Ovis aries: one gene and its partner. The protein of the gene in region 1 binds, or shares a complex with, the protein of each later gene. Links are inferred from orthologs where the notes say so. Each region holds a gene or a part of one and is shown in the gene's direction. Other genes may lie near its edges.

Region 1 (15,245 bases):
TAAAACAAACTCATGAATGTTATCCCACTCTTGGAAATTTTGAGTGGCTTATGGCCTTGAGAATCCATTTCCGACTCCTTGGCAAGACCTTGTGTGAGCTGACTCCCAGCTGACTTTTCAAAGCCTCTGCCATGCTCCACTCCATTCTTCACTGTGCCAGCAGTTCTTGAGCACATACACATTTATGCCACGGTGTCTCTGTCTTTCAGATTGTTTCTTGGCTATAACAGCTCTCCTGAAGCCTCTATGGGCAAATCATTCTCAAAGCCCCATCTCCTCAGTAAAGCCATCTCTCCCAACCTTACCCACCTACTGAATTACTCCTGTAGCTACAAGTTACTTTGTAGGACTATTTAGCATTTATTTCATTTATATCCTGTTATGTGAAATACAGATTCCAAGAAAGGTCTCCTCCTCCTTCCTGAAAGTGCCATCTGCCACCTGGCCCATGCTCCCCAGTTTTGCCTTTGCAGGCAAACCTAGCACTCCCTAAGCTGACTGGAGCCCAGGTTAAACTCTGGGCCTGCATGGCCCTTACAGCCCCCCTGTGAAGCCCTCTCTATCAGCCATCCCTCCACTTTGGAGTTGGAGGAAATGCTGCGCGTCAGGCCACGAGCTCTGGCTTTATAAGCTGCCATGGGAGGGTGAGATGATGCACAGAAGTAGAGCAGCTGACTCCCATGTGAGGAGCCTTAAATAATGAAATGCAGAAGAGAGAAGGGAGCCTGGCAGGTGAATTCCCCCTCCATTCTCCCTTGTGTGGAATGCTTGTGGAATGGCTTTTCCTACCAAGCCTTCCAGAGAAGAACCAACCTGCTGAGTGAACACATACACCAAACAACCTGTCTTTTTGGCTCCCTGTGAAGCCTGTTCCTCACCCTCACCACTCTATTCTTATATACCCCCAGTAGAATTGTTATTTAGTCACTAAGTCATGTCTGACTCTTTGCGACCCCATGGACCATAGCCTACCAAAGGCGCCTCTGTCCATGGGATTTCCCAGGCAAGAATACTGAAGTGGGTTGCCATTTCCTTCTCCACAGGTAGGTGGTAGTGGTTGCTACTATATTGACATTAATGACTTCAGAAATCGGGGGTAAAGTAGAACTACTTCAAGAGACCAACTGTGACCACATACACAGATTATAAGGGAATATTAATAACATCAAAGAAAATGGAAACATTAAAGAGCCCTCTTTCCATCTGCTAGAGGTTATGTTCAAGAGAGAACATTTTCAACAGCCTGACACAAGGCATTTTTCTATTTCCTTATGAAGCAATTCAGCAAATTTACTTTCCGTTTTATTTAAACTTTTTTTTTTATTAAAGTATGGTTGACTTACAATGTTGTGTTAGTTTCTGCTGTACAGCAAAGTGAATCAGCTATACATATATACTGAATATATATTCTATTCCTTTTAATATTCTTTTCCATTATGGGTTTATCACAGAATATTGAATACAGTTTTTTGTGCTATACAGTAGGATCTGTTCTATGTAAATGATGGAATCACAGGATACACTATTTTTATGTCTGACTTTTTTTCAGCATAATTTTGAAATTTGTCAATGTTATTGTATGTAGCAATAGTTGATTTCCTTTTAACTGCCAAGTTGTGTTCCATTGTATGGATATACAGTTTGTTTATTCACTTAACAAGGGTTTGGGTTGTTTCTAGCTTTTGGTGATCACAGACAAGTCACTTTGAACTGGACAACTTTGTCTTTTTAAATCAACTTTACTGAGAAATTTTACAAAATGTACTTTCTAAAATGACATAATTTGATGCATTTTAATGCAGGTTCCCTTGTAATTAACATGACATCAGGACATAGAACATTGGCTTCATCACAAATGTTCTCTTGGTTTTTTTTTTTTTTCCCAGTGTCTCCCACTTCCCCGTCCCTAACAACCACTAATTTGCTTTCACTCTAGAATAAATTTGCTATATTTGCAATCCCTATAGTTTTGTAGAAATGGAAACATACAGTAACAATTTTACTTTGCTTTTTTTGCTGAGCATGTTTTTGATTGATTCATGTTGCAAGTATGTTCATTCCTTTTATTACTGAATAGTATTTCATGACATGAATTTACCATGATTTGTTTATCCATTCATGTATTATTGGGCACTGGGTTGTTCCCAGTTTGGGGCCATCATGAGTAGAGTTGCTATGAACATTTATGTTCAAGCCTGTGGGTGGACATGTTGTCACTGCTCCTGGTTAAATATCAAGGAGTGGAACTGCTGCGAATGGTTAAGTACGCACGTGCAAGGGAGTGTGCTCAGTTGTTTCAACCGTGTCTGACTCTTTTTAACCCCATAGACTGTAGCCTGCCCAGCTCCTCTGTCCATGGGATTCTCTAGGCAAGAACACTGGAGTGGGTTGCCATGCCCTCCTCCAGGGGATTCTCCTGACCCAGGGATCAGACCAGCAGTCTTGCATCCCTGCACTGGCAGGTGGATTCTTTAACACTGGGGCCATGCATTTAATTTTTTAAGAAACTGCCAAACTCTTTTCCAAAGTGGTTACACTATTTTTATTTTATACTCCGACTAGCAATATGTGAAGGTTCCAGTTCTGGATGTTTGACAACACTTGATATTTAAAAATTTTAAGGTCTTTCAAATTTTAGCATTCTTATGGGTATGTAGTAATAACTCATTATGTTTTTAATTTGTGTCTATTTCCCTGATGACTAATGATGAGCATCTTTTCATGTTTTTATTGGCCTTTCATGTATCTTTCCTAAAATGTGTTCAATTGTGCCATCTATCCTTAATCAGGTTGTGTCTCTTACTATTTTCGAATTGGAGTTGGTTATATAATCTGGATACCAGTCTTTCCTCAGAATAATTTCATATATATTCCCACTGGGCTCAAGCCACACGGTTCTCTTTGCTCTTTCTTAAATGAGGCCATATCTGTTCTGAGTCTTTTAACTCTCTCTGTTCTCTCTGGAATTGCTGCTCTTCAGATACACACAGAACCTGCCTCCAAACCTCCCCCAGTCACAAATGGCCCTTTTTGGTGAGATCTTTCTTAACCATCCTATTTTAAACGGTAATACTCACGGCCTGACATTACCCCCTATTCTCTAGTTTTTTTTCTCCATAGCACATATCTATCCTATTTATTATTTACCTTTTTGTTTAAAGAAAAGTATTGACCTAGATGAGCCCCCAAGCATAAAAAACATGGAAGAATAACATATTAGAATAACATGGAAGAAAAACACCCATTTAGCGGATGACCTCCTCTTTCGGAGGCTGATACACTCAGGGATGGCAAACGGGAGCCTGCTGGGGGAAGAGGTTGTACTGACACCTCTCTCAAATACCCTAGGCAGATCGCCGAGCGCTTTCGGCTCCAGGAGATCCTGGCCAACTGGACCTCGTCCAGAACAAGAAAAAACTGAGTCCTGCTTGCCTCGAAAAAGAACTGTAGAATCTCGAGCAGCGGAGACATATGTAGAGCTCATCGGAACCATTAATTTTCTTCGCATAGGATGAAACAGGATGTCTCGTTCAAGGCCAAGCGGCTTAAGGACGCGGCCAAGACCCGCACTCAAGCTTCCGGCCCGGTCGGAGGAGCCTTGCCGCCACTCTCATAGGAAGTGGCGCACCGAGCCCCTGCTCCCCTTCGGGTCAGCGGACGCGACTCACGCCGGCGAAACACTCTGTGTAAGGAGGTAGCTGAGAACCTCCCTCCGACCCCGACCTGAAATGACACTGCAGGGTCGGGTAGGGCGAGGAAGGAACGCAGCTGCGGCAGATCTCCCGGAAGTTGAGCGCTTTGTTTCCGTGGGGAAGATCTTACGAGACGGACGGGGACGCGACGGTGAGTACCTGGCGCCACATCGCTGGCCGGGGCGGGCGGGGACTGGAGACCAGTGATTTTCCAGATGATACCTGTGATTTTCGGCGCCCTCGTTTATCGAGCGTTTGCTAAGGTCGGGTCCTGGGATGCAGCCCGGCAGTGATCGGCTCAGCCTCCCTTCGAGGGCGGACGATACAGCATTCTGATGAGCCTCAGACTCACCAAAGTTGTAACAGAGGAGCTCGGAGAATAGGAGACTAGTCCTGGGGGCGCCGGCAAATGGGCTCTTACTGGCCAGTCGAAGGGAGGGAGGATTAATTCAGAGTAACCGCCTGTCCGAGGGGGCGTGCTGGGTAGGGACTGGGGGTGGTGACAAGCTGGAAGGGCCAGTGCGGCTGAGGGGAAATGAGCGCTGTCTGCAGGGCTGCGCTAGGAAGCGGAAGAGGGAGGAAGGTCTCAGATCATAGTCTGGGACTCCGTGACATAAAGGGACTTGATAGCAGGGCAGGATTTGGTGTACGTTTTGAAAAGATCACTTTGACTCCCGGGTGGAAGTTGGATGATAGGAGGGAAGGAATTGTGAGGCGACTTCTAGGAGGTCACCGCTGTTGAGGAGAGAAGGTGGCCAACGGCAGTGGCAGAGTAGGTATGGGAGAGAATTGGACCCTTCAAGATGATACTTAAAAATTGACAAGAGTTTTGCATAAGATATGGGATTTGAGTGGAAGGTAAGTATCCAGCGATGGTTCGAAGTTTCTGACCTAAGTGAGTGAATTATATAAAACAAACCAAAACCATTTTTGACATTTGATAGGCCCCCTTTTCCCCCTACTGTAAAAACAAAAAACACAAAAAAATTGTTTCCTCCCTGGTTGTATGTACTCATTATCTTTTGTGTGCTCACTGTAGAAAATTCAGAACATGCAAAAATATTTTTTCTAGAAAACAAAATTGTCTGTAATTCTGCTACCCAAGATGGCCGTATTTTGGTGTGCTTCCTTTGTTTTTGTTTTCTGAATCAATTTTTTTTTTTTTTTGGTAGAATTGGGTATACATTTTATGTATATATATTTTTTCCATTGGATATTATCATGATAATAAAGATTGTGTGGCCCTGCTGTGCCAAGACACTATTCACAATTTTATTTTTCCAGATTGTAACAGAAAAAATCAGATGTAATTCCAGCAAGTCAAAGATAATATTTTGTTGTTTTTTCCAGTAGTTTTCTTTTTGTGTCCATTTTAAAAAACCCACATATTATGAACATTTTGTTTTATTTTCCAATCAGATGTTAAGTACTTAATGTTATTTATTACTATATTTACACATCCTTAGCTACTCTTCAAGACTACAGTTTTTAGTGGTTGGTCAGTAAAGCCACTGTAGTTGGGCCTGTTACTAGTTAGGTAGGTTTTCAACCTTTTACTCAGGATGATAAAAACATCTTATTACATAAATCTTCAGATTGCCAATTTATTCCTTCAGAAAAACGGTGGAAATAAAACCTCCTAGATAAAAGGATAAAGTGACCCTATATAAAATTGCTTCATCTAAATATCTCTGAGACTTTAATTGAAATTGTTTTAAAGATTATATTTTTGCAGTGCTTAGTATTTTCATTCAAAGATAGATTATGTCTCTCCAGTTATTTGTTGTTTATGCTGCTTTTATGTTTTTGTATATACCCTGTCCTTTTCTTGTTAAATTTATGTCTATAAAGGGTGTTACTATTTAAGAATTGTACCCTCTAGGCTTAAATTCCCATGTATGTAATGAATATCTGAGTTGTGTCATACTTTCTTCTATAAGATTGTTTTCTGCCTTATATTTATGTCTAGATTCTGTCAAAATATAAATAAAATGGTGAGATTAGAAAGCTAAAAAGACTAAGTTGGAGTGAGGTTTCCTTAATGCTGTAAGTACCCTGTGGTCTAAAAAGTGTTTGGTGCCCTGCTCCTAGTTGTTGAGAATCTCCCCCTCATCCAGAGCCTGCCTTTTCTGTACAACTAGGGGACCTGGTGTTGCCCTTGATCGTTTCCCAGGAAGGAAGCTAGAACAGCTTAGCAGGGTTAGGAAGACAGTCTGTCATCAGGCTGCCAGATGTTTTGGGGTGGATTTTTCAAGTTTAACAGTTCTACATCTTACTATTAAAGTTGTAATACTTTAATTGTGAGCAAGGATATTTGTTAGTGACTTACAGTTGTTAACTTTTGGTCTTTTGGTCTTGTGCAGTAGCATCCTGCTTATCTATGAAATGCAGTTAACACATCAGCTGGACCTATTTCCTGAATACAGGGTGACCCTTCTGTTATTTAAAGATGTAAAAAATGCTGCAGGCTTGAGAAAAAAGGCCATGGAAGGTGCCATTGATGGCTCATTAATAAATCCTACAGTGGTAAGTACTCATGGCAATGAGTGATTTTTCATGATGTTATGGGTTAGCCCAAAATTGTTATCTTCATGTAAAAGGACTTGTCTAACCTGTAGAGTGGATTCAGATTTGGCCAGCCTTCAGTTTAACAGTGAATAGAAACCAAGTGGGAGAAGGCAATGGCACCCCACTCCAGTACTCTTGCCTGGAAAATCCCATGGACGGAGGAGTCTGGAAGGCTCCAGTCCATGGGGTCACTGAGGGTCAGACAGGAATGAGCGACTTCACTTTCACTTTAAAAATGGCAACCCACTCCAGTGTTCTTGCCTGGAGAATCCCAGGGACGGGGGAGCCTGGTGGGCTGCCATCTGTGGGGTCACACAGAGTCGGACATGACTTAGCAGCAGCAGAAGCCAAGTGCTGAGCCCCGTCCTGACGTGAAAGGTGGTTTCCCTCTGATATGATGGCAGATGCCTAGATACCCATCTTGTGTGACCTAGAAAGCCTCTGTAAAGGAGGCATTGCACAGTGGTAGAATCACCAGGACTTAAGTCCCAGTTATGCCATTTATTATGACTTTGAGCATGTGGTAGCCTTTATTCAGTGCTTATTTGGTAAGTTCTTTATATTACTGCTAACTCACTTAATCTTCACAACAACTCTATGAAGTAGTGAGATGATTATCTGCTTCTAAAAGATAAAATGCTAAGGAATTTGCCCAGGTTCCCTTGGTGGTAAGTGGCAGAACTGAAATTCCAACCCATTCTTTGCCTTGGTTTCCTCATTTATTGCACATGAAAAATAATAAAAGATATCAAATAGGGTAGGTTTGAGTAGAATAGAAAATAAAGTTTAAATGTTGAGAATATGGCCTTTCCCATAATAATAGTCCTCAATAAGTTGTTTTAAAACTCTTTGTATCTTAATTGCCTGCAGCTGTAGAATTCTGTGATTTTTCTAAACACCTAGGCCCTTAAGATTTTGACAATTTTGAAAATATAGAAATTGTGATGAAGTAAAACAGCCTGATACTCGAGGGTACAGGGCATTGTTCTTCAGAGTGCTCCAGATTCTTTGTGTGTAATTCTTCCTGTTCTCTTTGGTAGATTGTCGATCCATTTCAGATAATTGTGGCCGCAAACAAAGCAGTTCACCTCTACAAACTGGGGAAAATGAAGACAAGAACTCTATCTACTGAAGTTATTTTCAATCTTTCCCCAAATAACAATGTAATTAATATGGAATGTATACTTTATTTATATCTTTTGATCTTGTCATGGTAGCCTGTGTGTGACTCAGTGTTGGGTTGGAGCCTGTTGCTGGTAACAAACCAAAATAACAGTGAAGAGTGAGTGCTGGACAGAGTTGAGGTTTAGCATTGCCGCCTACGAGACAAGTAAGCGTTGGAGTCACTCATGAAATTTAGCTAAAGTAATTGAGGATAGTTTTATTTGTCCTTCCTGACATACAGAGTTAGGAAAATGCTATTTAAATCTCATGATAAAAATTAGGCATGGGTATTTGTGTGTTACCATGCACATCTTTTATTCTCCCTATAAACTCTTTGAGGATAGAACCATGCCTTTTCCATAGACCAGAAATCTGCCGGATACCTAGACTAGCTCTTAACACATGCTCATACATGCAGTACATAGGAAGAGTTTGTGTTTGAGAGATTGATAGTAATCAAAGTTTTTGAGTTAAAAACATTCCACCTGGGCTTATTTTTTAAAAAACCAACTAATTTTGCTGACGAAGTTTAATTATTACTCATGGGGTCACAAAGAGTTGGACACGACTGAGCGATTGAACTCACTAAGTACTAACTACTAAACACAGTCAAGTACTGACATGGAGAGAAAGATTAGGAAACGTGTGGCATGGTTTAAAATGCAGATGTTTGAAAAATTTATAAAATGGGTAGTAATGGGATTCCCCAGTATCTTGGGGAAAATTACTGGGTGATTGTCTCTTTGAGATCACTGAAATAACTCAGGAGACTGCAGTTCATAAGCATGTGTTAAGCTTGCCCCTGTTCCAGTCTGGGGTCAGAAGTGTTCCCAAGCAAGGAAGATGAACAAGACAAGGTTCAAACGTCCTAAGATAATTGATATAGTGGAATAATAATGCAAATCTGTGGGAACAGAGAAGCAATTCATGCTATAAAGGAGGAAAGTGCTAAAGGAGTGACCTTTGAACTGGACCCTTGAAAGATGCTGGCAGCCCAGGTAGAGGACAAAGTGCAGGCACAGGCGAGAAAAGTAGGAAAGGACGGGAGCCCAGACAGCCCCGCTGGCTGGAGGGCAGGAGCGCGTGCCGAGTCACTGGGTCCATCCAGTTAAGTCCAGGCTGGATTCTGTGGGAATGAGGTGCAGCTTCGAGCGGGGAGTACTCTAGAGGCAGGGGTGGTAGAGATGAGGGAGGGACACTGCGAAACTGTAGGCAGAGAGAACCACTAGGCTATGAAAAATAAGAATCTGACCAGGAAAGGCTGCAAATGGGGAGAGGTTTCACATGTTGAGCTACTGATTTTATTGTCTTTTTCACCCCTTAGATTTCAGAGGCCTTGAAAAAATTTGGTATCTCAGCAAATGATACTTCAATTCTGATTGCTTATATTGAGGAGGGTGAAAAACAAATAAATCAAGAACACCTAATATCTCAGGTAGAAGGTCACCAGGTTCCCCTGGAAAATCTCCCTGAAATAACAAATATTACAGAAGTCAAAAAGGTTTGTACACCTGTATTTTTAGAAAGAGCATGATAGATGTGGAATAATACTGTTTCCTTATCACCAATGCTTCTATATTGTTTTCACTTTTAAGAAAGGTTAATATAGTTAAAAATTACTTGAAAAATGATAAGACATGCAAAGAAATGCAGATTTATGTAAGATATAATTAGAAACTTAGTTGGTAAAGATATTCTTTTAAAAAGGATAACTTTAGATATCAAGCTTACATTTGAAATATAAAATATAGTATGAAGTTAATGTCTAGATGTGTGCTTTTAAAATTGGTACAAATGTTTTGATGTTTAGAGAGTTATCACTATAACTGCAGTTGAAACTTTTGACATAAGTGATGAGTTGCTGTTTACTTTGCATACCTTAATCACATTGTGATTCCATCCTATTATCCCAATAATTGAGTAATAAATTAGGTCACATATACATTTTTGTATAATGAAAATTAGTAGTGCATGAATATGTCAGCATGTCATAATCTGTCTTTTATGCTTATAGGTATATAAACTATCTTCACAAGAAGAAAGTATTGGAACATTATTGGATGGTATCATTTGTAGAATGTCAACGAAAGATGTTTTGTGAAATGACAGAAATATTAAAAATTTTTCAGCTTTTATAAAAAACATTCATTGTTTTTCCTAGATCATAAAATCTGTTATGTTGTGTTGTATAAAGTTTTAAAACACAGAATAGTAACAAAGGGAAAAAAAACCACTCCTGGTCCTACCTTTTCATATTTTAAAAGATAATCACGGTGATTGTTGTTATTGTCTTCTGTTTCTGTCCAAATATATTTTATTTTTATATAATTGGAATAATTGCAAACATTTATTGAATGTCTACAATATACGAGGTTCTTATCTAAATGACTTTATATCCATCAGCTCATACTCTTGCACTTAATTCTGGCTACTCCAGCATCACCCGTTCCAAGCTTCCTGGTTCCAAGTTTTTGTATGCAAGAATTCATTTAATTATCACAACATCATATGAAGTAGATTACTCCCGTTAAAAGGTTGTACAAATAATAATGTGCGCAAGGTCGTACAGCTAAAAATCATGTTTTATAAATGGTTTGTTTTTTTTTTCATATTTTATCTTAAAATATGGTTGTGTCAGTCAAGATAGAGTAGGTTACAGGCTGTATGTTAATGTTTTGCTAACTTTGCTTGTTCTTAGTCTTGTCTATGCATGGGCAAACACTTCTTTTCTGAAATACTTGAAAGTAAATTGCAGACCTTGGGGCACTTCACCCTCTGTTGTATTTAGTTGTCATGTCTCTCTCAATTATTTTCTAACTGAAGGAGAATTGCTTTACAGAATTTTGTTGGTTTCTGTCTTATATCAACAGTCATGTCTCTTTTAAAGGCTCCTTTAATCTAGAACAATTTTTTTTTTAAAGGTGATGTTGACATTTTTTGAGGAGTGCCCCAGATGTCTTTCAGAATTTCGGAATGAGTTTGTTCGTGATTTGAATCAGTTTAAATATTTTGGAGAATGATACGTAGACTTTGTGTCCTTCCAGTTTTACATCACTGGGAGGCACATACCGTCACTTGGCCTCGTCACTGGTGGTACAGTTTGGTCGCTCTGTTAAGGTGGTACCCCAGACTTCTCCATTATGGAGGCATCTTTTCTCCTGAAGCCTAGGGAGAAGCCAAAGCTGCCCTACAGCTCAAAGTGCCTGTAGCCAGGATTAAAACTCCACGTGACCCAATTCGATGCTCCTAACGACTCCACACAGCCGTAACTATCGAACATGTTCTTTGTAAAAGTGAAACTTCACATAATGTAGTTCTATTTTTATATATTAGCACTGCTTTCAATTTTTCATTTTGCTTTTGCAAGCAAATCTCTGTACACATCTTTTTCTGTAGGATAGCTTCCCTGCAGTGCAATTACTGGGGAAGAGGACATGAATTTTTAATACCAGAAAAGTGCCACTTCGCAGTTGTAATAGCAGTGCATAAGTGTGCCAATCTCAGCAGACTCACCAACAGTGCCTTTAAACTTCTCAACATTTTCACCATTTCAAAATGTCAGACTACTGGTGAAGCTGAACTATGTTTATTTGTTATCAAGAGTTTTGAAAGGATTTATACCTGTAACTATATAGATTTTTTTTTAAACTCTATGAGCCTTTGGGTGAAGAAGGAAAAAGAAGTAATGCCATTTCCTGGGAAAAAAGTTTACATAAGGTCCACAAGCTTTTTTTCTTAAAAATGTTGGGCCAATTTAGGAATAATGTTCTCTTTCTTCTTAAATTAACCAGTTTGCTTCAGAGCCTAAACACTCCCCCAGCAAAAGCAACCAGTGATTATAGGGCCTTTGATGCTGGAAGAGAAGGGATGCAGTTTGCCTGGCTGCCCTCATCTGGCTCCTTGGTCAAGGGTTACAGGGTTAACAAGGGATACTAAGGCAAACAGCCAGCTGTCGCTAGGATAATGTGAGGGAAGGGGGCTCTGTCACCCAGGCAGTCGTTGCTCCCCATCTCCCCAGTCCTGGGAGCAAGGAAAGCTGCCACTGTAGTGGCAGAATCTTTAATCCCCTGCCCCTCTCCCCACCTCACGCTCGGGAAAACTACAAGAATGCTCCTAAGCACTGCGCCTCCTTTTTAGAAGGAGCCCTGGGGCTCACAGGCTTTTTCAGGCCACCTGCTGCAGTTCTCCTTTTCGCTTTTTCCTTTGACGACCTTTCTGCTTGTCTGGAAACCTGGAACCTGTGCTAGGGTTGCGGCTGCTTCTCTGCACCCGGTTTTGTTTTGCTGACTGCTGTGCTATCTGCACTCCGTGTTACAAAACTGAGTAGAGCACAACTCTCTAGGTGATTGGTCTCAGAATGAGCCAAGTTTGTACTGTTTTCATAATCCTCTGTGCCAGTTATCTGCCATTGTTCCCTCCAGCTCACTCTTCATCCTTCTCCACTCTTCTCTCTGCCCTGGAGGCTGACTTACCGTGTACACAGCAAGAGGTCCTCCCTTTCCCTTGGCTTCGGCCAGTGTGTGGAGTGGGGAGGCCAGCAGGAGAATGAGGCCAAAGGTATTTATTTTCCTGGCTCCTCGCTGCAAGGATCCCTAGGCTGGCTTTGGCCTTGGACCTCTCAGGGTGGTCCTTGCTACTCAACTTCTGGTTCAGGTTCCTGTCCCCCCACCCTCCTGCCTCACTTCAGGCCTCTTGAGCATTAACATACCTGGCTCCCCTTTACCCACCCACACCTTCATAATTAGGCCCTTTGGTGATCTGTATAAAATGAGCTTGGGTTATCCTAGTTTGAGCGTTGGGGCCTGATAACACCTCCCTTTTGCTAAAAGTTTAGAAGTATTTCTATAGAGCTGGAATCATTGTTCCAGTATTTCTGAACATCTTGCCAAGGAGTGACCTATCGGACCACTTTCTTTCCTCTTGAAACAATTTGCTGTTACTTCCTCTCACTCATGTTATGAGTGCTCAGTGGCATCCAGGGCACTGACCTGAGGCTGGCTTACTGGGAACCCTGATGAGAGATCAGGGGAGATGATGTTCTTTCCAGGACATTTTCCTCCTCTTTCTGAGACTCCAAAACATGACACCACTTGATTGTCTAACTTCCATTTCATTGACCCATTTCTGGGCTTAGCTGGTCTAAGAGGCAAGTGTTTTTCATAAATGCAAGCATGGGATTTCATTGACATGCTGCCCTCAAGTCCCACAACTCTCGGAATAACAGTGATTTCAAAAAGATAACTACCTATTATAATCAGGTTCCTACAGATAATAGAAAAATAAAATAATCTATCAGGTTACTAGTAACTGTTTAACTGTTAATAAGTTAACAGTTTTTAGCAAGTAACAAATTAACAGCAATGTAAGTGCTGGATGAGAAGTGCAAAGTCTTCAAAGGGAGGGAGCAGATACAAGATCCATCTGGTTGTCAGGAGTCAGAAATCTTGATGGAGGAGGTAGCACTGAACTGGACCTGAGCCTTAGTCACATACTGGATCTGGGTCAAGTATGACCTGAACATAGGGGCATGATGAGGCTTAGAGGTGAATCTTGCATCCCAGCAGACAGCTGTTTTTGTTGGCATACAGTGCTTTATACTAATTAATAACTCAAACACTTGTCAGATACCTGCCTTTTGGGGTCAGCACGTGGTACTGAAAAAGCAAAATGTTCAGGCCTTCGAGTCAAAACTGCCAAGGCTTGGGTGCCACTCTCCTGGGTAGGATCTCTCAGGTTTGTAAGCCTCGGTTTCACATTTGTAAAATGGAAGCAATATGAGCCTTAGCTCTTAGATGGTTGTGAATGTCAAATAGTACAGCACAGGAAAAGTGCTTTCTCACAGTGCCAGGCATCTAATATCTCCGCAAATAGCAGCTGTCTGCATGTGCCAGGCATAATACTGAGGCATGAAGTAAAACAAGACTCACTGCGGGTGGGCAAGTAACACTTAGGACAGCAGGTTGGCTGGGTAAACAAATGCGGTCTGTCCTTTCCATGGAACATTTTCAGCCATAAAAAGCAATGAAGTACTGATACCTGCTAGGACAGGTGAACTTTGAGAACCAAAGTGAAAGAAAGCAAACATAAAAGTTCATATATTGTGTGATTCCATTTAAATGAAACATCCAGAATAGGTAAATCCAAAGAGACAGCAGGCTAGTGGTTGCCAGGGGTGCAAGAGGTGGAAATGGAGTGACTGACTAAGGGGTTTCATTTTGGGGTGATGAAAATGCTTCAGAACAAGACAGAAGTGGTGATTATACAACATTCTGAATGTACTAAGAGCCACTGAGTTGTACAAATTTGAATGGTTAATTAAAAATAAGAGAATAACAAACCTGCCTTTCCTTCAGGAATTCACAATCTTCGATGGGTCTGTTTAGACTGACTCTCAAGAGTTGGCTGAAGTTCATGTGCAGCAGTGTAAATGGACCTAGGGAACATCATGCCAAGTGAAGACAGAGAAGGACAGATACAAATACCATACAAGACCGCTTGTATGTGGAATCTAAAAGAGGACACAGTGAACTCGTCCACAGGACAGAAGCAGAATCAGACTTGTGGTTGCTGTGTGGGAGAGGGAGGGAGTGGGAATTTGGAATTAGCAGATGCAAATTATTATACACAGAATGGATAAACAAGGTCCTGCTGTATAGTACAGGGAACTATATTCAATATCCTGTGATAAACCATAATGCAGAATATGAAAAAGAATGTATATATATAACTGAGTCACTTTGCTATGCAGCAGCAATTAACACACTATAAATCAACTGTCATTCAATAAATTTTTTTTAAAAAGGAGTTGGCTGAGGCAGAGACAGGTAGATTCTCAAGCCTCAGTTTCATCAGTTGAAAGCAGGGTCAAGAACCTGTAATCTGCTGAGACTTCCAACTTGTATCTCTTACACAGAGAATTACCCATAATTCCTCTATCCAGAGATAAATGCTGCCAATGTTTGGTGTAACCATTCAAGACATTTCTTTCTGCATGCTTGTGAATATAAATTATTACTGTTATATTTTTCAAAAATGAATGAAAACATAGTTTTATAATCTTTTATAGCTTGACAATTATATTTTGACAATTATTTTTCATATCAGTAAATCCTCATGATCATCATTCATGACTATGAGGAAGGTTAAAAAGCCTAAATGTAAACCAAGGTCACTGGGTTGAGGAAGGCACAGAAGTTGGTGAGAATACAGGAAAGAGAGGGGAGGGACAGACAGAACATCTGGCCCCTCAGCTTGACCATTAGGTTTCTGATTGGTTAACATTACAGACTCATTAGGGTTACTCAGCTATACTTTGGAGCCTTCTATTCTCTTTTGGTTCCTTGTTCAAATTTTGCTTAACATTGAAATGTTAAAAATGGCACCTCTGTGGTGATCTCTTTCACAAGTCTTGTCTCTGGAGCATCCTCCTAGTTGCTCTTGCCAGAAACCTAGCTATCACCTCTGACCCCTTCTTCATCCTCAAATTAGCATTGTCATTTCTGTTCCCAAAAGATATTTCCAAGGGGGCCAGTTGACCTCCATGGCCCCATTCTGGTCCAAGTTGCTGCTTTCTCTTGTAGGATCCCCACTAGCCTAGATGGCTCCTTTGTGAACAAAGAACAAGGCACCCCCTTCAATCTGACAACCTGCTGGACACACAGTTCAGTGGGCAGTGACACCTTTGAGCAAAATAAGAAAAAGATGCCTTTTCCTTTGGTCAGACTCAGCTCTGTGCCAGAGCTCGTGGATTTTAGTTCCCACAAGCCTTCCTTGACAAGGTGATCTTGTAAAGTGAGCACCTGCGTATCTGTATCCAGAGGC
Region 2 (15,404 bases), on another chromosome or scaffold:
CCATCTCTTGGAAATCCCCACTCTCAGGAGGAATGGCGCCAAGATGCTGTGAACACAGAAAACCAAGTTATTTTCCTTGTGATCACCAAGTTGTCCAAAAAGTTCATTATTTTATAAAATATTGCAACAGTACATTGATCATATCTGTAGTATTTTTTAGAAGAGCAGTGATAATGTGAAATATAATTTAATTCCAAAAGACAAGATCTTTTTGGGACTTCCCTGGTGACCCAGTGGCTAAGACTCTGTGTTTCCAATGCCAAGGGCTTCAGTTCAGTCCCTGATTAGGAAACTAGATTCCATATGCCACAACTAAGATCAGACTCAGCCAAAAAAAAAAAAAAAAAAAAGACAAGATCTTTTCTTTTTTGTAAAGACAATGGGTTTAAAAGGTCAAAGCTCTCCTTACCCTTCCATGGAACCAGTCTTCACAGACTATACACTGGATCATCTCATCTGGAATCTAACATAGAAAAGCAATTTGTTTGTTAATGGTTACAGTGAATTCATGGGGTTCTCAAGACGAGAACACAGCCATTCCCTTCTCCAGGGAAGCCCGCTGTACTGAAGTCCATGGGGTTGCAAAGAGTCAGACATGACTTAGCGACTGAACTGACTGACAATGAACTCTGGAATTTCAAAGTAAATCTGGCACACATTAGAATCAGATATTAAATAATTCTCTACCAATTCTGTAAGGCCACTGCTGTTGCTGCTAAGTCACTTCAGTCGTGTCCAACTCTGTGCGACCCCACAGACAGCAGCCCACCAGGCTCCACCATCCCTGGGATTCTCCAGGCAAGAACACTGGAGTGGGTCACTAACCACATGCAAAAAGTCAAGGAGACAGGGAGAAACAGCAATTCAAAGGGTCAAAGAAGTTCTTTCCCCATGAACTGGGGTTATAAAAGGATTACACTGAGATAAGCACTTTGTGAGTAATTATCAAAACTTTCATATCAGTTACTTACTATCTGATTCCCACAAAACTTTATGAATAAGTAGTATATTTTCATTTCACACATAAACCCAGGGAGGTAATATGAATCGTAGCAAGTTGCACAGTGAATTACAGAATTTTGCCTTTGTCAAAAGAAAAGGAAACTAGAAATTAAAGCACACATTCACTCACTTATATGTGCACAGAAAAAGGTCTAAAAATATATACACCAAAAGTGTTAACAGTGGTTATGTCTGGGAGGTAAGAAGGTACAGGAATGAGGAAGAACAACAATTCTTTTAAAATTTTGCATACACCTCTAATTGAAGTTTTCAAGAGAATCCAGTTTGTGCACCCTATTTTCTTTCCCTGCAGGAATGCGAGAAGTTGAAGGTCATTTTCTGGAAATTATTCAGAGAAAAGGAGCAAACAGGCAAAGAGAGGGGAGAAGGAAAAAAGTTCTGGCCTTGATAAAGTCCTGTCCAGAATTTCTCATGATGTAAGAAAGAGAAAAATAGTTGGGCTCTGTACTACTTGTAGCTTCAGGTCAGAGTCATAAGAAGGGATAAATCTAGAATACTTTCACAATCCCCAAATCCCTGCTGAACAGCTAAAGGGCCAAATATGACAAGAGGCTGGGAAGTGAAGGCTGGAGATGACACAGTCCTGGTGCTGACCTCCAAATCTCTTACCTCATCTTCAGGATCAGGGTAAGGTCTCTTGCAAATGCAGTACAATCCAAAAAAGTTGTCATTGTACTTATTGCCAGAATTTATTTTTGCTTTGTCCTGAAAGATATTAATTTCAATATAAAACATGGCCTAACTTTATAATTTCATGCATCATGGAATTTATGCATTCAATAAATTTGTGCACTAAATATCTGTACCCCCTCCCTCCCCTGGAAGCTAGTCTTCAAAGTACAAAGGAAAAAATTTATTACTTTATAAGTAATACTTTCTCCAGGATACAAGGGAAAAATAAAATTTATTTTCTATACCTTCTTTGTACCAATCGGGGGAGAATGAATCATAAATATTAACTATCAACCTATGGAAGCTGACACTGGTCTAGAATTTCAAAATATTTCTTAATGCCCAGCTATGATAGTCAAAGCCCCCAAATTACTAGGAGCTGAAAAGTAGGCAAAGAAGTTATCTAAAAATAATCTTTGAAGGAGGGAAAGAGCATGACAACTTTAGCAATTAGGACTGAATACTGTAAAGTGACCTCCCTGGTGGCTCAGACGGTAAAGCATCTGCTTACAATGCGGGAGACCCAGGTTCAATCCCTGTGTGGGTAAGATCCTCTGGAGAAGGAAATGGCATCCCACTCCAGTATTCTTGCCTGGAAAATCCCATGGACGGAGAAGCCTACAGTCCATGGGGTCACAAAGAGTCGGATACGACTGAGCGACTTCACACACTGTAAAGTCCCTTATTTTCTGTTTCATTTTTGGTATTTCACTTAAGTTATTGTAGAAGATAGTCTTTATTATCCAAAAAGCAGTGAAAAACTTTTGCAAAAGCCCATGCTCATTATTGCCCAGTTTTATTTATTGTTTTAAAAGTCATACCCTTTTCTTTAAAAAGCCTTAGAGCATGAGCACAATCAACACAACTGAACCTGAATCACTTTAGAACACTACCCCCAAAACCTTTCATATTAATTACAATCTATAGGTAGGCTCTGAACAGGTTACTTAGCTTTCCAACAAATAAAAAACTGGGGTACAGTCTAACATTGATTTGCCCATTGGCAAAGAAGCATAGAACTTCCTTTTTGAAAATTCTTGGTTTTATCCCCTAGGACAAATACAAATCTTAGCTACTTTCTATGCATTTATCGTTTACTGTGGTTACTTACAGGAAACAATTTGCATTCCAAATTTTTAAACTTGCTGTTTCCACAATCACAACGAAAATTTCTGAAAGAAAGGAGGAAGAGCCAATTTTAATTTTTCTTCTAAGTCTAAAGACTACATTCATATCATAGCCTCTTCCCTTTCAATTAGCTTCTAGGATCTAAAAATTGGACTTGGTTGTTGTTCATGTATCCAATCCGCAATTTTCCCAAGCATATTACAATAAAAGATTTAATAATTCTATAAATTAACATGTGTGTGCTGTGTGCCCAGTCATGTCTGACTCTTTGTGATCCCACGGACCGTAGCCCACCAGGCTCCCCTGTCCATGGAATTCTCCAGATAAGAATACTGGAGTGGATTGCCATTTCCTTCTCCAAGAAATTAACATGCATAAAGACAAATATCTGTATCTCACACACACACATAAAACAGTGGAAGGATAGCAGGAGTAGTCTGAGTTTGCCTCATAATTATATTTTAAAAGGTCCCCTGGAAAAACTGTTCTTTCCGATTACATTATATAAAACAGTTGCATTAAATTTTACCAGGGCACAACTACTTTGAATGCAAAAACATGATTAAGAAAAAAAGTGCAACTGGAAAAGAATCTAAACATTTGAAAAGCATCCAGCATCAATCTCTGACCAGTTTACCTTTTCGTGTACAGCTCAAATAGTTTATGACTTCCATGACATTCGTAACTGCAAGCCAGGCAAATTCCTGCCGGTTCTTCTCCCTCTGGAGTGCAGGTACTGCAGGCATACAGTGCTTGTCTCTTTACTGAACCCTAAAGACAGCCCCAAAATGGAAAAAGACCGGAAACTGATGAAACACTGGCAGAGCAACCTAATGCCCACACTATGATCTGAGAAATAACTGAAATCAGATGATCTGGGGTCAAGATCTTCCTGTAAAAGCCACTGAGACTAATAAAAAAGCATATACAATAGAATACCAAAACACTGTTGCAGGTTTCATACACGTTTCATATAACTTTTTCTCAAAGTGATAGAAGTTAACATTTTTAGTCAGCTGTGAATAAACCGGTCTGCTTAACTATTTTAACACATGAAAATACAGGAGAATGTGTGTAAGCTTATGTAAGGAATAATCATACTTTAATTTTGGAAAATGCTTGTGATTCCACCAAAGAGAAAACCAGTGCATTAAATGAATCCCTTTGATTTTAAGATGTATGCTGACATATTTAGAGTTGAAGTGTCATGGTCTGAAATTTATTTTCAACTGGTTCAGGAAACAAAAACAAAGTATATTACAGTGAAGAAGTAAAAGATAAAACAAATGTGGTAAAATATTAAAAAGTGAATATATGTGAAGGTACACAGGTGTTCATAATATTATTTTTTCATTTTAACTGTAGACTTTAAACATTTCAAAATAAAAAGTCGAGAGAAAAGCAAATCCTGATAATGGCTGCCATCTTCTGAGAAGAAGGGAGTCCCAGGAAAGCTTCTGTGATGCTGGTAATGTTCTATTTCTTGATCTGTGTGGTATGTACCTGCAGGTGTTTTCAGTTTTGCTTTCCCAAGACTTATACATGGTTTCTGCACTTTTCCACATATTTTACAACAATACAAAAAAATTTTTTAAGGAAGTCTGTTTTAAAAATCTAACTACGTTTCAAAAATAACTTACAGGCTTTTTTAAAAAAGGCAAACAGAGAAAAAGTTGTTCCAGTGGCGACCAAAGGTTTTAAAATATCAGCCAACATTAAATACCTCTGAAGCCAGGTGTATTAAAAAAAAAAAAATCTAACCACTTTGCAGTGTAAACTCAACTGGTCATTGATAACAACTGGTATTGTGATCTCAAGCAACACCACGTAAAGACCCCATGTCTCTCTCCCCATCCTGCAATGTTCCACTCCACCTGCCTGGAAGATAACCTTCTTCCTATCAAGTACCATCTCTCATTAGTTTTCTTCTACCACCTTTCTCCATTTTTGAACCTAGAAACATAGAATGAGTCACCAAACACTACGTCACACCCCCTCCAGTCCTTGTTCCCACCATCTTCCGAATGCCATCTCTCCTCCCCTCCTTTCCTTTGCCAGTGCCACCAGCTGTTCGGGTTCCGGTCTATGCCCCTGGAGGGCCGACTGCAGAGAGACGTGGTACTTGCTTCCTCTCGCCAAAAAAAAAAACCAGCTAGCACCTGTCAAACTAAACTGCAGAGGAACCAGCTGTCCAGGAGTCCAGCCTACGCGGAGAGATTTTCAAACCCAGAGCTCTCTCCTTTAATTATTTGACTCTTCCGTTTAGTACCCAGCAAATACTCTGAGGATGGGAAAAGTATGGACAAAGATACTCAGGATGTGAAAGGTCACGGGGTTGGTTTGGTGAAAAGCGGCCGGGGCACAGAGAAGAGACGAGGAAGGAAGGAAAGAGCAGCTGCTCTGGGGCCAAAACCGTAGAAACGTCGGGGGCCTGACAGAGGAAAATCGAGAAAGGAGGGGCGTCCTGCTGGCCACAGGTTAGAAGGGGCTCAGAAGACTAAGTGTAAAAGGGCACCTGGGCCTGGGATGGGGAAGCCTACGACCAACAGCTGCGCTGGACCACCACAGGGGGCCGGCCGCGGCCGGCGGGAAGAGAGAGGGTAAGGCGGTGGGGAAAGGGAGGTTCAGCGGAGGCGAGGGCCGAGCCGCGCGCCCACCTGCGAGTAGGAGCACTTCTCCGAGTCACTGCCGCCCAGGACGGCGCAAGCCTCATTCTCCAGCTCCTCGTCCTCCTCCAGTACATCGACCAACGATACCACGGGCTCCAACTCCGACTGTCGCCCAGCTGGCTCCTCAGCTCCAGCCATCCTCAACTGTCACCAGGACCGCCGACCGGCCCCGGCGGAGGCGGGAAAAGCGTCCGCGAGGGGCGGGGCCGGAGGAGGCGGGGCCTCGGTGCCAGACACCAATCCCAAAGACAGGGAGCGAAGGAAGGGGGAGGAGCGACTTCCGACAAACGGAAGTCAGGCCTCTCCCTTCTCCGCGCCTGCGCCCGCGGCGGGCTGGTTTCCGTTTCCGGTGGCGACTCACTGTGGCGCGCTCCTGAAGCGTAGCGGTCGCTATGGAGCTGTTGGGCGAGTACGTCGGACTGGAAGGGCAGCGACAGCAGCTGCGGGTGCCTTGTGAGGCGCCGGGCGTCACCGACCCTTTCCAGAGCTTGTTGTCCGGTGTGGCTCAGATGAGGGAGCTGGTGACTGAGCTCTTCGGCTCTCAGGTACAGCCGGAAGCACAGGACCGGGGGACGGCGGCTCCCGACGAGGCCTTGGACGGTGAGCTTTGAGACGGTTCAGCGAGTGACAGGAGGGCGGGCAGGGGCGCCCGGAGAAATTTGGGCTGTACCTGGACTCGTTTAGCAGGACTGCTTTTGACGATTCTCTTTTCATTTATGTCACACAAAAAACGTACTGAACGCCTACGGCCCTGTGCCAGTCACTGGGCTGAACTCTGGAGAAAGAATGACGTGAATGCGACTCAGTTCCTGTTCTTGTGGAACTCTGTGGGAGGTTAGACAGACAAACATTCTTATTAAAGAGTAGAAGGAATGACCCTAGGCTTCTTTGTAACTATTGCAAACCTAGAGAACCCAAGAAGGCTTCAGAAAGAGCATGACTTCTAAGCTGGGCTTAGAAGGATGGAAAGGAATTTTCCCAGGCGTGAACTTACAAATATGTTTGGAAGACCGCCATCTATTACAGAATAGAAACAGGTTCTGAAGATTGGAATAGATTTCAGATGAACAAGGCTTCACTGTCAGGGACTCCTTTCATTTCCCAGTGTGGTAGGTGCAGTTTGAAAGCAGAAATGGAAATTTTAACTGTATTCTTAAGTCTTGTCTTGAATACCCTGAGCTGAAGAACCTAAGAACTAAATATTGGAATCAGGGCTTACTTCCCCTATTGTTGTTGTTGAGGTTCAGTCGCTCAGTTGTGTCCAACTCTGCAACTCCATGGACTGTAGCACACCAGGCTCCTCTGTCCTTCTCTGTCTCCCAGAGCTTGCTCAAATTCAGGTACATTTAAACTGCAGTGCCATCCAGCCATCTCATCCTTTGTCTCCCCCTTCTCCATCTGCCCTCAATCTTTCCTAGCATCAGTCTTTTCCAGTGAGTCAGCTCTTTGCCTCAGATGGCCAAATTATTGGAGCTTCAGCTTCAGCATCAGTCCACCCAATGAATATTCAGGGTTGATTTCCTTTAGGATTAACATTTCATCTCCTTGCCTTCCAAGGGACCCTCAAGAGTCTTCTCCAGTACCACAGTTCAAAAGCATCAATTCTTCAGCACTCAGCCTTCTTTATGGACCAACTCTCACATCTGTACATGACTACTGAAAAAACCATAGCTTTGACTATACAGACCTTTGTCGTCAGAGTGATGTCTCTGCTTTTAATACACTGTCTAGGTTTGTCATAGCTTTCCTTCCAAGGATCAAGTGTCTTTTAATTTCGTGGCTACAGTCACTGTCTGCAGTGATTTTGGAGCCCAAGAAAATAAAATCTGTCACTGCTTCCACTTTTTCCCCTTCTATTTGTCATGAAGTGATGGGACCGGGTGCCATCTTCTTTGTCTTTGAATGTTGAGTTTTAAGCCAGCTTCTTCACTCTCCTCTTTCAGCTTCATCAAGAGGTTCTTTAGTTGCTCTTCACTTTCTGCCATTAAGGTGGTATTATCTGTGTATCTGATGTTTTTGATACTTCTCCTGGCACTCTTGATTCCAGCTTGTGCTTCATCCAGCTTGGAATAAGCAGAGTGACAATATACAGCTTTGATGTACTCCTTTCCCAATTTTGAACAAGTTTGTTGTTTCCTGCCTGGTTCTAACTGTTGTTTCTTGACCTGCATACGGTTTGGGGATTGGAATAAAAACTGACCTTTTCCAGTCCTCTGGCCGCTGCTGAGTTTTCCAAATTTGCTGACATATCAAACAGCATCATCTTTTAAGATTCTAAATAGCTCAGCTGGAGTTCTATCACCTCCATTAGGTTTGTTCATAGTCCTAAGGTCCACTTGACTTCAGACTCCAGGATATCCAGCTCTAGGTGAGTGACCACACCATTGTGGTTATCCGTGTCATTAAGACTTCTTGTATAGTTCTTCTGTGTAGTCTTGCCACCTCTTAATTTCTTCTGCTTCTGTTAGGTCCTTACCATTTCTGTCCTTTTATCATGCCTGTCTTTGCATGAAATGTTCCCTTGGTGTCTCCAATTTTCTTGAAGAGATCTGTCTTTCCCATTCTATTATTTTCTGTTTCTTTGCATTGTTCATTAAGAAGGCCTTCTTATCTCTCCTTAATATTCTTTGGAACTCTGCATTCAGAAGGGTATATCTTTCTCTTTCTCCCTTGCTTTTCACCTCTCTTCTTTCCTCAGCTCTTTGTAAAGCCTCCTTGGACAACCAATTTACCTTCTTGCATTTCTTTTACTTTGGATTGGTTTTGGTCACTGCCTACTGCACAGTGTTACAAACCTCCATCCATAGTTCTTCAGGCACTCTGTCTGCAAATCTAATTCCCTGAATCTATTTGTCACCTCCACTGTATAATCATAAGGGATTTTATTTAGGTCATACTTGAATGGCCTAGTGATTTTCCCCTACTTTCTTCCATTTAAACATGAATTTTATAATAAGGAGTTCATGATATGAGCCACAGTCAGCTCCAGATCATGACTATGTGGAACTTCTCCATCTTAAGTTGCAAAGAACATAATCAGTCTGATTTCAGTATTGACCAGATAGTGATGTCCATGTGTAGAGGCGTCTCTTGGGTCATTGGAAAAAGGCGTTTGCTACGACCAGCGTGTTCTCTTGACAATACTCTTAACCTTTGCCCTGCTTCATTTTTGTACTCCAAGGCCAAACTTACCTGTTTCTCCAGGTATCTCTTGACTTCCTGCTTTTGCATTCCAGTCCCCTATGATGAAAAGGACATCATTTTTGGTATTAGTTCTAGAAGTTGTAGGTCTTCATACAACCAGTTAACTTTAGTTTCTTCAGCATCAGTGGTTGAGACATCGACTTGGATTACCGTGATGTTGACTGGTTTGCCTTGGAAACGAACCGAGATCATTCTTTCGTTTTTGAGATTGCACCCAAGTACTGTATTTCAGACTCTTTTGTTGACCATGAGGGCTACTTCATTTCTTTCCAAAGGATTCTTGACCACTGTAGTAGATACAATGGTTATCTGAATTAAATTCGCCCATTCCTGTCCATCTTAGTTCACTGATTCCTAAGATGTTGATGTTCACTCCTATCATTTCCTTCTTGACTGTGTCCAGTTTACCTTCCAAACATTCTTGGTTTCTATGCAATATTGTTCTTTACAACATCAGACTTTACTTTCACCACCAGACACATCCATGACTGAGCATCATTCCTGCTTTACCCCAGCTGCTTCATTTTTCTGGGGTTATTAGTAATTGCCCTCTGCTCTTCCCCAGTAGCATATTGGACACCTTCCAACCTGGGGGCTCATCTTCTAGCGTCATCTTTTTGCCTTTTCATGTTGTCCATGGGGTTCTCTAGGCAAGAATACTGGAGTGGATTGGCATTTCCTTCTCCAGTGGACCATGTTTTATCAGAATTCTTCACTATGACGCATCCATCTTGGGTGGCACTGCGCAGCATGGCTTGCAGCTTCATTGAATAACACAAGCCCCTTCACCATGACAAGGCTGTGATCATGAAGGTGTAACTCCTCTGTAGAGGAGCTTAAACTGTACTGTACTTTCCTTTTCTTTCCATCTTGTTTACATCTTGATAGTGCCAGATAATATGATAGAACCAACTCAGAATATTATGTGAATTTCAGACAGTAGATTGTTTCCATCAGCATGAAGTCCTGGTTCTTGGCTCCAAAAGATCCTCTCTAAACCGTTGAAAATACTATCATTGGAATAAGGACAGGTACAGATGGAGCCATTTAAAAAATGGCTTGCTGGAAAAATAACTTCTACTTTTTCTGCTAATAATGGGTCATTAATAGCTTCATATATAAGGACATGCTTTTGTATGTTTAATCAAGTCCCCAAGGAGTTTCAGTTTGAATTTTCTTTGTTGAAATGGTAGAGGGACTTCACTGGCGCTCCACTGATAAGACTATATGCTTCCACTGCGGGAAGCACAGGTTTGATCCCTGATTGGGGAACTAAGATCCCTCGTGCCCTGTGGTGCAGCCCAGAAAAAAAAAAATGATAGCAATTAAAATGATGAATTTCATCTTATATGAATCATATCAATTAACAAGTAAAAAAATTTTTAAATGTAAATATTACAAAAGTGATAGAATGCAATACTAAAATGACAAATGGTGATCATTTTTTCTGTATAGGAATACTGAGTCATGGTGTTATAAACCTGGTACTAACAGTGTTGTTGGTCAGTTATACTTCAGTTGAAAAAAAAAATCATCATAATGACCAAAAAAGACAATCCAGTTGCCAGGCGTGCGGAAAACTTGACCAAATAAGATACACAAATGGCCAGTAAGCACATGAAAAGATGCTGAACATCACTGGCTTTTAGAGAAAGGCAAATCAAAGCCACAATGACATAGCGTGTCATACCCACCAAGAAGGCTATAATTGTAAAGAACAGTAACATGTATTTTGACTAGGATGTGAAGAAATTGGAGCCCTCATACGTTGCTGGTGGAAACGTAAAATGGGGTGTCTTCTTTGGAAAACACTTCAGTAGTTCTCAGAAAAGTTAAGTGTAAAATTATCATTCGACCCAACAGTTCTAGTCCTAAAGTTCTACTCCAAGTTCTCCCAAGACAGCTGGAAACATGTTCCCATAAAAACAAATGCACATGTGTTCATAGCTGCATTATTGATAATAGCTAAAAAGTAGAAATAACACAAATATCCATCATCTTATGAGTGGATATGCAAAATGTGTATCCATATGGTAGAATATTCCTCAGCAACAAAAGGGAATGAAGTACTGTTAAATGCTATACAATGTAAATGAACTTTGAAAGCATAAGTGAAAGAAGGCAGACACAAAAGGCCATATATTTTGATTCATTTATATGAAATGTCCAGAACAGACAAAACTGAGGGGTAAGAAAATAGACTTTTGTTGTTGTTCAGTCGCTCAGTCATGTCCAACTCTTTGCGACTCCTTGGACCAAAGCACACCAGGCCTCCCTGTCCATCACCAACTCCTGGAGTTTTGTCAGACTCATGTCCATTGAGTCAATGATGCCATCCAACCATCTCATCCTCTGTTGTCCCCTTCTCCTCCTCCACTCGATCTTTCCCAGCATCAGGGTCTTTTCCAGTGAAGCAGCTCTTCACATCAGGTGGCCAGAGTATTGGAGCCTAGCATCAGTCCTTCCAGTGAATATTCAGGGTTGATTTCCTTTAGGATTGACTGGTTTCATATCCTTGCAGGCCAAGGGACTCTCAAGAGTCTTCTCCAACACCACAGTTGAAAAGCATCAATTCTTTGACACTCAGCCTTCTTTATAACTCTTATATCCATACATGACTACTGAAAAAACCATCGCTTTGACTATATAGACTTTTGTTGTCAAAGTGATGTCTCTGCTTTTTAATATGCTGTCTAGGTTTGTCATAGCTTTCCTTCCAAGGAACAAGCATCTTTTAATTTCATGGCTGAAGTCACCATCTGCAGTGATTTTGGAGCCCAAGAAATTAAAGTCTCACTTTCCATTGTTTCCTCATCTATTTGTCATGGAGTGATGGGACTGGATGCCATGATCTTCATTTTTTGAATGTTGAGTTTTAAGCCAGCTTTTTCACTCTCCTATTTCACTTTCATCAAGAGGCTCTTTAGTTCCTCTTCTCTTTCTGCTATAAGGGTGGTGTCATCTGCATATCTGAGGTCATTGATATTTCTCCTGGCAGTCTTGATTCCAGTTTATGCTTCATCCAGCCCAGCATTTCCCATGATACACTCTGCATATAAGTTAAATGAGGAAAGTAGATTAGTGGTCGCCACGGGCTAAGGGGAATGGGAAGTGAAAGTGAAAGTCACTCAGTTGTGTCTGACTCTTGGGGACCACATGGACTATACAGTCCATGGGATTCTCCAAGCCAGAATACTGGAGTGGGTACCCTTTCCCTTCTCCAGGGGATCTTCCCAACCCAGGGATCGAACCCAGGTCTCCCGCAATGCACGTGGATTCTTTACCAACAGAGCCACAAGGAAATCCCAGGAATACTGGAGTGGGTAGCCTAACCCTTCTTCAGCAGATCTTCCCGACCCAGGAAGGGGAAGTGACTGCTAATTGGTATGAGATTTCTTTCTTGGAAGATAAAATGTATTCTAGAGTTAGTGGTGATGGTTTTATAACCTAGTGACTATCTAAATCAATAATCTGTACACTTTGAAAATGAATTTTATGGTGTATGAATTATATCTCCCAAGAAAAATGATAGATGGGAAAGGTTTTAAGCATCATAATTCCTGCAGTCTTTTTAACTGTACATATTGCTGATTTGATATGTGCATTGTTTTATTAATCCCTGAAGTGAAATGGTCTAATTATCAACCATTTTAGCTATCTATATTTCTTTCAATGACTGAACATATTGTCATACAACAAATATTTGTTTTAAAAGGTGATGATGAAGATGATTCAGAAGATGAAAATAACACTGATAACAGAACTAATTCAGATGGACCATCTGCAAAACGGCAAAAACCATCTTAACTAGCTTTTATGAAATTTAAAAGACTGCTACCATATTTTATTGTACCACACACTGACATTTAAGGAACTTGTGCTCTAATTTGGAAAGCGTTTGTTTTTTGCCCTGGGACAGTTTTGTCAAAGAGGAAGCTTTTCTGTGTTCATCAAAGAAAGACATAAATGCATAGAAATGAATCCCTTTTCTTGGGTGAGAAGTCAGTTTCAGATCATGGAAATTAGACATTTAATAATGTGTGATATCCAGTAAGTTGGCAACTGAATTCTTACTTTATACTTTTTAAATACCCATTGGGTTAAATTGTGTGGTGTCCACATGTTTTAGCTTCTGCTTCTGTTATGAAAATACATGTCAAGGTTTATGGACAATAACATTTCAAGGAACTGACATGAGCAAGTGATGAAAATGAGGTGTTAAATTTAAAAATGGCAGGTGCTTCCTTGGTAGTCAAGTGGCTAAGACTCTGCATTCCCAATGCAGGGGGCCTAGGTTCCTTCCCTGGTCGGGGAACTAGATCCTGCACGCTGCAGCTAGAGTTTGCATGCCACAACTAAAGACCCAGCATGACGAAATGAAGACTGAAGATTCTGCACATGCCACAACTAAGACCTGGTGCGGCCAAATAAATTTATTAGTTAATTTAAATTTAAGAATGGCAATTCCATGTACGTAGAAGGAAAATGGGAATAGTGAGAAATATTGAAGGGAAGGAGAGCCCTTGAGAGAGACCCAAGAAAATCTTGAATCCACACCTGAACTCAATATACAGACTTCTGGAGATGATACCACTCAACAGATAGATGTTTTAACTTGTACCTTAAGAGAGTCAAATTGGGGTGTGCTTTTATGCTGGTGATATGCTGTTTATGTTAACACAGGTATAAGTCTTTAGGTAAGCAACCTGTGTTGACTGTAACTTAAGATATTTCATGTCATTCTGTAGTCAGACTTTGATTTTGCTTAACAAGGAACTATCAGATCCTTTAAATACATATATGTATATATTCCTAAAATGTGTATGTGTATGTATTCCTTTTCTGCTTGTCAGAGGGACTAAGATATTTTTCATTTACTATACATATAAATGTTTCCTGATTCATTTTGATGGCTAAACTACAGGGAATCAAATCAAGTAACAGGTAGCTATTGAAACACAGTCACAGAATTTTAGAGTTGGAAGTAATCTTATAGATTATATGATTTACTCAGAGATGAATTGAATCTTAGATATTTTCCTTGAGTTACAGAACTTACTGGCAGAGCTGGGTTATACACACAGCTTTTAAAAGATTACCATAGTACTTTCACAATTACACATTCTGAAATCTGTAGCTTACAAAGTACATGGTATTAAGGAAATTGAATTTACACACCTTTTTATATGTTTATAGTATTGTTTTAGTTGAAATATCAGGCTTCTACCAAGTACTCTTATGTAATTAAAACAATACCAACTAGAAGAAGTTATAAATGGTCAGAAATTACCTTGTTTGTTTAGGTTGTGATATGTCTCTGCTATTGGAACTTCAGGTCAGTTACTGATTTACAATAATCTTTTATCTTTATACATTCCTTAGAAAAACTTGGGACTTCCCTGGTGATCCAGTGGTTAAGACTCCAAGCTCCCAATGCATGGGGCCTGGTTTCAATCCCTGGTCAGGGAACTAGATCGCACACGCTGCAACTAAATATCCCGAGTGCTGCAACTAAGACCCGGCGCAGCCAAACTAAAAAAGAAAAAAAACCTTAACCTGTGAAATTACAATAGTTCATAGTTTTAAAGTAATACCTGAACTTTGCTTCTGAACATTTTATCTCCTTTGTTTAGTAAATATGTTTATAAAGAAGAAATACCAAGATATTCATGCTTGTGGTCTGTTGTTTGGAGGTCTGGGTTATAAGTCTGATGGATCTTTTTCTGATTCTAATACTGTCTTCATAAGTGAGCCACATGTATGACAAAAAAGGTTTTGAAGGTGTGAGGGACTAGTTTGAAGAACCAGTATAAGAGAAATGCCTTGCTGATTTTCTAATCTGCTGCCTTTAAAAGGTAATAACAATAGCCACAGACATACAGGACACAGTTAATGTCTGAAACAGCTTTAGTAAAAGTAAACAACTTTACTTTCATAAAAGAAAGTCAACCCCACAATCCTACCTAAAAATAAGCTTGATGCTAGGCTGAGATAATCTTTTAAAATATGAAACATGGGGTTCTAAATGTGAAATACATGGGCATATACAAATAGATGTGTGTTCTAAAAGTCAGTGCTTTTGTGTCACATTAAGAAATACTTCAATAAAGTTCTGTGACCAAGGACAAGAACTTTTACTCTTTTATAATAGGTTGCTGTTGCTTGGCTACAATATTAGTTAGGAAGTTTGAACAAACATTTCCTCCAGCAGAACTTTCTTGGCTTCTGGGATGTTAGGCCTCATACTATGTGTTTCTGTGGAGCCTAGCCCCCTGTATTGACTCCCTCATGTCATGAAGTGTACTTTATTAGAATTATTTCTTCAAGCTGCTCAATTTTTTAAAAACTTTGATTGAGAAGACTTGTATTTTTAAGAAAATAGAATTTATGTTTTCTTCCAAATGGGACAATCGGTTGGAGACATCTGCAGCTCTCAGTTTATTTTGTAGTACTTTTATCTAGATCCTATTTAGCCTGTTAAAGTTACACCTATTCCTCAATATAATTAATTCATTTTACAAACATAGTGTATCATTTTTTATGATGCACTAACATACTACAGTAAGTGATATGATAACGTATAAGATATGATAACATACTGCAGTAAGGCACATACACAAAACATCCTGAAAACATAGGCTTTTTAACTCACTTTCAACCACTATGTTGTGATAAAATGATTACAAGAAATTCCAGTTTGAACTTACC

The links.
Region 2: TPRKB (region 1) and GON7 share a complex: the UniProt entries of both Homo sapiens proteins name them as parts of the EKC/KEOPS complex. The link is inferred for Ovis aries from reciprocal best matches to the Homo sapiens genes TPRKB and GON7.

Annotation. Positions count from the first base shown.
Region 1 is NC_056056.1:95,591,028-95,606,272, reverse strand, and holds TPRKB (EKC/KEOPS complex subunit TPRKB), read left to right. Parts: upstream 1-3,817; 5' UTR 3,818-3,955; exon of another isoform or gene 3,956-4,550; intron 4,551-6,055; exon of another isoform or gene 6,056-6,058; 5' UTR 6,059-6,077; coding exon 6,078-6,218; exon of another isoform or gene 6,219-7,300; coding exon 7,301-7,423; exon of another isoform or gene 7,424-8,748; coding exon 8,749-8,925; exon of another isoform or gene 8,926-9,438; coding exon 9,439-9,525; 3' UTR 9,526-9,758; downstream 9,759-15,245. UniProt on the Homo sapiens protein: Component of the EKC/KEOPS complex that is required for the formation of a threonylcarbamoyl group on adenosine at position 37 (t(6)A37) in tRNAs that read codons beginning with adenine.
Region 2 is NC_056071.1:55,642,165-55,657,568, reverse strand, and holds the start of GON7 (EKC/KEOPS complex subunit GON7), read left to right. Parts: upstream 1-5,827; 5' UTR 5,828-5,884; coding exon 5,885-6,092; intron 6,093-12,411; coding exon 12,412-12,503; 3' UTR 12,504-15,404. Other genes in the region: putative E3 ubiquitin-protein ligase UBR7, read right to left, coding at 1-46, 410-463, 1,633-1,728, 2,807-2,867, 3,461-3,594, 5,481-5,630. UniProt on the Homo sapiens protein: Component of the EKC/KEOPS complex that is required for the formation of a threonylcarbamoyl group on adenosine at position 37 (t(6)A37) in tRNAs that read codons beginning with adenine.